2 linked regions of the Tribolium castaneum genome follow. The main gene of each other region encodes a partner of the protein of the gene in region 2 in a complex. Links are inferred from orthologs where the notes say so. Each region holds a gene or a part of one and is shown on either strand. Other genes may lie near its edges.

Evidence for each region.
Region 1: btz (region 2) and tsu share a complex: the UniProt entries of both Homo sapiens proteins name them as parts of the mRNA splicing-dependent exon junction complex. The link is inferred for Tribolium castaneum from reciprocal best matches to the Homo sapiens genes CASC3 and RBM8A.

The regions. Positions count from the first base shown.
Region 1 is NC_087399.1:11,508,610-11,511,327, reverse strand, and holds tsu (RNA-binding protein 8A), read right to left. Parts: upstream 1,467-2,718; 5' UTR 1,352-1,466; coding exon 1,291-1,351; intron 1,241-1,290; coding exon 1,097-1,240; intron 1,043-1,096; coding exon 781-1,042; intron 728-780; coding exon 700-727; 3' UTR 571-699; downstream 1-570.
Region 2 is NC_087396.1:15,135,894-15,140,146, forward strand, and holds the start of btz (protein CASC3), read left to right. Parts: upstream 1-1,404; 5' UTR 1,405-1,483; coding exon 1,484-1,543; intron 1,544-1,697; coding exon 1,698-1,987; intron 1,988-2,039; coding exon 2,040-2,243; intron 2,244-2,301; coding exon 2,302-2,975; intron 2,976-4,253. UniProt on the Homo sapiens protein: Required for pre-mRNA splicing as component of the spliceosome. Core component of the splicing-dependent multiprotein exon junction complex (EJC) deposited at splice junctions on mRNAs.

The sequences.
Region 1 (2,718 bases), on a different chromosome or scaffold from region 2:
TATCAGTTTCCTTTCTTTTGCGTGCACTTCCAAGTGTAATGTGGGTCTAGCTGATTCAAAACTATAAAAACGCCAACGTCGCATTTTACCAAATTATTTTTTTTAATGAAATTATAAAATAGTTATTAATACTTAGATCTCATTGAAAATATAAATTACATTAGCTGTTATTTTTTTTAAGTCCACGAATAAGTTATAACAGCTAATTTTAAGGGAAAATGCAACGTTGATGTTTTTATAGTATTGAAACAACTACTCCACTATTGATTGTGACATTGACAATTCTACAATTCACAGAAACAGAGTACACATTGTTTTTTGTTATTAGCACAGTTATTAGTGTTTTTTTTACAATAAATGACTGTTTATTTTTATATGTTTCTGATACCGATCCTTATTTAAACTTGAGTTGGATTAATGGTGATAATTGATAATCACCGTTTTAATCCAAGTTAAAACAATTTTAAAATCTATTGTAACCATAACTTTAAATGATCACATTGTACTTTTTACCAAGTCTTTTGAGAATACTTGCTTGTCCCAAACTATAGAAAAAATACACTTCACACGTAAAAAACTCACAATTTATTACTTCTTGAATGTCATAAATAAAATACACCAAAGAACCTTACTTTTGTAATCTTAAGAAATTAATGGATATAAGTGGAAAATTGAGTTATAAATAATTTACAGTTACAATCAGTGTCTCCTTGCACGTTTCTTTGACCTGAAAAGAAATCAAATCACTAAGATTTAACCATTCAAAACCAAGAAACTTACTTTTTGGGCCCCTTAACAAAACACCAGTCAACTCCAACTGTTTGCCCTAACAACAAAGACCCATTCAAAGCCTCCCTGGCCGCAAACGCTTCCTCGTACGTCCCATATTCAATCAAAGCATATCCCTTCAAAAAACCCGTCCGACGATCCAAGTTGATACTTATATTTTTGATAGCCCCAAACTCGGAAAACTTCTCACTCAAATCATCCTCACTGGCCTCTTCATGCACCGAAGTCACAAACAAAATCCACCCCTCCACAGCTAGAACGCAAAATAACTGTTTACAACACTAAAACTGTTTAAAATGCAAATTACATTTCTGTGGCCCAGGCTCGTCTCCGTGATCCCCGGAATCTATGCTTTCATATCCTCGAATTTTCTCATGTTCCTTGGTCTCTCCAGGCCCAAAGCCGCGACCTTTCCGCTTTACAACTTTATCTTTCAGGCGCAAAACGCTCTCTGGAAATGTGAGGTTAGGAAAAGGAGAGGTTATGTTACGGCTTGCCTACGGTCTCCTTCGTCTTCCACGTCCAATTCGACGGAATCGTTGATGTCCAAAACATCTGCCATTGTAACAACGACACTACACACGTTTTTTTTATTAAAAAAGACCGATTTTTAGCATAAATTTGGGATGCTTCTTTGACGTTTGAAGTCGCGGTAGCGTTGCCAACCGTGCCACTTGTAACACCATAATTCTCCAGATTTAAAAACACGGAATAAAATAAATAAAATAAAAAATACATTTATTTTTATTGCACAAAACACTAATAACATCTAATAATAATAACACACAACATTTCCCTTGCGTCTTTTCAAAATTCTATAATTTCGTTTAACATTCTTTCAAATTATTTATTCCTCAGCATGGATTCAGTACTCGTCCCTAGACTTTTCTTAACATTCTTGTCATATTCTTTTCTAAAACCATATTTAGATCCCGAAAATGTTTCATAATACATTTCTATTTAGCTGTTTCAAAACTATATAAACGCTAACGTGGCGTTTCTTACTTCATTTCCAAATGTTTTTTTAATATTCTTTGTATTTATATTAGCTGTTTCAAGACTATACAAACGCCAAGGTTGATGAAATTGTAAAACAGTTATTAATGTTTAGATCTTTCATTGAAAGTACCATGCGATGTTTTAAAATTTTGATCTAGTAATCCACAACAGTTAAGTTAACCCAATGTCCTTTAGGGAAATAAGAATCCAGCATAATTTTTTATGTTCTTCGGTGAATATTTTAGATATATTGACAGATAAAGCGATGCTGAAGTTATTTACGTAATATATTTCACTGTTGAGGTAACTGTCAAGGATACCTAGATCAAAATTTTAAAAATTCGCTTGTTATAACTTTCATTATTTTTTTTTAGGTGCATCAAAAATTCATAACAGCATTAACAGCTAATTTTGAGACAAAATGTGACGTTGGCGTTTTTGTAGTTTAAAAAACAGCTAATAGACTGAATTCAAAATTCTTTGAAATCACTTTTTTAATACATCCTAAAAATTTTATTTTTGATTTTACTCTGCGACTTTTCAAAATCCTTCGTTTAGATCTTCCAAAATTATGCTTTGATTTTGTGTCACTATTTTTTTAACATTCTTCTCTCATTGTTCTAAACCATCTGTAAATATGAAATAGGAAATAAACTTATTTTATAAATTCATCGTATGGACTTTGATTTAGAAATGCTTTGTTCATCAAAATTCTTTTATAAACGCTTTCTACATTTTCTAAATTCTCCTTTAGATTCCACTTTCTGTCCCTTTCTACAGTTTTATTTAGTATTTTTTTATTATTTTTTTAGTATTCTTTTGTACCAATTCTTTTCTAGATTGCTCTTTTTTCAAAATATTTCTAAAAATGTTTTTCAAATTATTTTAGTCGTCTCTAGATTTAAAATCCAGTCTCTTCTTTGGATTATT
Region 2 (4,253 bases):
TGCTTGTCACTTGGTACGCACTTGTGGTCACTCAAGAAACGGTCACTAGGTGATTAAAAAAAACGAAATTTGTGTGTTCAAAATTTATTAACCATGTCCAAAATCCAGGTTTTGTAAGAATAAACATCAATGTAAAAAACAATCGCATAACTTTCATTTTTTGGGCAAAAAGTCTCCAAATGCATTCCCACCAAGTTGTTACTTTGGTCGATCATTGGAGCATTAACCCTTTTTCCACAAAACTCGTTCCTGCTTGAAATGTAACAAGAAACATGCTTCTGTTTGATGAAACCCGTACAGTCCTCGTGTTGATAAACACGAACATCAAAACTGAGCAATTTGTTGAATTTTTGCCTTTGTGCCAACGGGAGATCCACTCTCCTATCCCAAGTAAAGCTCTGTACAAATCGATCAAGTTTCGCAATTTCAAATGCCTTATCGTCAGTTGCATTAAAATGTAGCAAAACCAAACCAAAATTAGAAAAAATGACATTATTGACCCTTTTTGTCACTCCCCCGAAAGACCACCATGACGACCCTAATCTCAGAACGCCCAAATTTTCAACACAGTCATCAACAGCTAGGGCCCAGTTTCGCGCAATAACACCAACAGCACATTTGAAAAATCCTTCTTTTGCATCAATATATCGCTTTCCGAGAAGAGCGGCAATTGCTGGATTCTCTGATTCCTTACACTTTGCAAGAGTGAAGGTTTGGCTAAGAGAACTAATAGATCTTTTGTTAAGGGCATCAAGTTCAAATTCATATTCTATGTATTCGCGATCGCGTTTGTCGTAAATATTTAGAGTTTTATTTGCTAAATAACAGCATAGAGCGTCACATCTTTCCGAGGCAGGCCCAAAGGCCCCAAAGGCAAACGCTAAGTAAAGCGCGACCATTACCACGAAGAATGGGACTGCTACCATCAAAATAAGGTGAAGAACAGTTTGAAATGAGCTTTTCTACAACAGTTAAGTGGGTTATTGGAACATTTTCTATAAAGTTTTACCATGATTAACGCTAAATTATGTCAAAATTTTTGAATTTTAATTTATTTTTTTTAATTTCACAAGTTGTCTCTGGTGCGATCTATGCAACTAATATAACTCAAATTGTATAAAAAAAATTTTAACTAAAAAACTATAGATGACGTTTCAATCGACTGCTTATATTAGTTTGCGGCCTTTTGGACAATTTTATCAACAAGGGCGTTTTTATTTAAATTTTACTTATAAAAGTATAGGCAACTAGTTATTCAGTTGCCACCAAAAGTTGGTGCTTCTGTGCTTAACCTAACCTCTGAAACCTTGTGACAAGGAGTTGCTAGTTGGCACCAACTTGTTTCTCTCTGTTTCTTTTCCTTTCACGTCGTTCCATTGAGCATGAAAAGGACCAGAAACGAGACGTAAGTCTTGAATTTGTCACTGGCCATCGAATCTTGCCAATCCGGCCAAGATAAAGATATTTGTAAAACAACAAAAAGATGGAAGAAACCGTTGCTGTGCCAGCGACAGCCCCCCAAACGGTGGAAAACATATCACAGGTGAGCCCAATTGCTCCTTACGTTGCTCCTTCGTTCCGGAAAAGAGAAAGATTTGAGAAAAAATTAACAAACCAGGTCACAAGTTCAGAACGAAGTGGAGCACAACCGAGGCGATCTCGCGTGAATTCTTCTCAGTTTAAGAATGATTTTGCAGGAAAAGACACGAATTGACGCTGAGGAGAGCCACAAGTCCCCTAACGAGTCGGAGTATGACAGTGCAGGGAGTTACAGTGATGAAGAGGAGGATAAAGCGAGGTCGAGGAATTCCAGGGAGCACACTGATTCGGAAACTGAAGGCAGTGTAGGGCTGGAGCGGGAATCTGGCGACGGACAGGAGAGTTTGCCTCTCAGGAAGGTGGACGATGATGAGGACAAGAAAAACCCCCAGTACATACCCAAAAGGGGCACTTTTTACGAACACGATGACCGGACAGCTGATGACGAGTGAGTGCGAATAATTACACAGTTCATGTAGTGTGACTGATTAATTGTTTAGGCAAACAGCTGATAATGTAGAATTGGAGAAGGAAAAAGAACAGAAGAAAAAAGTATGGCAGGATAAGAAGGAAAGGTGGAGTCATGATCGTTTTAACGACTCTGAGCAAGCCCCCAAGTCCAGGGCTGAACTTGTGGCCATCTATGGGTACGATATTAGGAACGAGGAAGGTCCCCCTCGAGCTCGAAGGCGCAGACGATACGGGTGAGTTCCCTCACTGTGTTAAAAATCGGTTTAATTTGTTGCGCATGCATTTCCAAAGACGTGGCCCTAACAAGTATACAAGAAACTGGGAAGACGAAGATGCCTACAACAAACCGCCACCTCTTATTCGTAAAAAGAAACCCCTCAGAAAGCCCAATCAAGGCGAAGACTTTCCGCCTCTAAACCGCTCAAGTAATCAAGAAGACCCGCAGGATAGCAGAGATTACGAAGAGAAAACAGACCAGTACCAAGCTGAAACAAACGGTAACACGAAAAATTCAGTATGCGAGTCTCCGCAGTCTCCGCCAGTCCCACCACAAGAATCCAACAGGATGCAGCAACGCGTCGGTTCTGGCCGTGTGGTTAAACCAAAACGCGAAATCAAGGATTCAGATTATAGGGGTTTTACTACAAAAACACGTCAAGTTAGGAATATGAAAACTGATCAAAAAGTCGTCCCGAAATCCTCGAAAAAAGACGATTTTATCCAGTCGCAAAATTTTACAAATAAAAATAACAACATACAAGAGCTAGAAAAGGATTTATCAAAATTGAACGTTCAGGATGGGGTGCATAAAGGGGGTAAACACGGGGGACAGAGACAAGGCAGCGTCCCACCAAGACTCCAATCGGAACAAAAGGGCTCCAAACGGTACAGTTCCATCAGACAGAGGTCGCTTCCAGAGTCGGCAACGCCGCCGTTCTCGCAGCACTCGAATTACTACTCAAATGGTAGGTTCAAATTATAACATCATCACTTAAATTTATTTTCAAGTATACGCACAATACAAATAATTTATGTTATGGTTATGATTTTGCGCTAAATGTTACTGGTCGATTTTGTTTGGTTTTTGATTTTTTTTTACACAAACACAAAGTACAACAGTAAGTGTTAAAAGAAAAAGAAAATATTTTTGGCCATGAAGTAGATTTTAAGTAATAAAGAATGATTATTATTGTTGATGGGAAATTTTTTTCTGAGTATTAGATTTTGATGAGATTTTTTAGTTTTCAGAATTTTTTTCTGAATTAAGTAAAGCAGTGAACGCATTTTAAAAGACTTTCTCCCCTAGAGTCTGAGTGAAAGAATGTACCCTGTAAAATAATATCAAAAATGCTTCTTAACACGGCTGTAAATCATTGCGGAAAATAGCTAAAATGTAATCCTTTTTTGCCCTCTTAATTATAGTCTTGAATATATTTTCTTAGGCAACCAATTCGCAATATATTCCTTTGGACATTACATTTGATAAAAAATAATTTTCATCTGGTAAGTAGATGGGTCCAGGACGACCTTAATTCGGATCTAAACTAGTAAATATTATAATTGATTAGTTTAACTCTGACTAAAACATTTTTGGATTATCATTAGACCCCTCAGTGGTTTGAGGCCACGCTGTACCTACTAAGCGCCCCCTGGCCCTTAATTAACATCAATTTTTCCCAACTGTAAAACTAGAGACAGGATATAGGTAGTTTGAAAGTGTTACAGTACAGTATAGTGAACAAAAAATTTCGGGCACTTAATTAACGGCATTAAAAAAAACGATGTGGTTTAGGCTTAATGAGACGAATGTTTTTAACACGAAGGTTTATGAAGATGAAATGTTGAAGATCTTTGATTTTTTGCTCGCGACGGTACTTACAGGAAACATTTTTTGATAGGTACTTCTGGACCGCGCCAACATTTTTTGGTTGAACAAATGAGCACTTACCACTTTTACGTGTGATTAATTTAGAAATTATGAGTGCAGTCACCATACGCAGTCAGTGTGGGAGCTCTTAACACTTTTGCATAAATCAGCAGCACAGTCTGAAAAACACTACATTGATATTACGTGTTTTATGTGCCTTATGACCCCCTTTAGCATTTTTCAATTACCCAAAACAGTTTCCACAGATTTTTCGTCTTATTTGTTGGATTTTCTCAAATCATTTTCGAAATGTCATCCGTCAAATTTAAAAGAACGTGCGCATGCGCAATAATTTTTAACGTGTGTATTAGCCAAA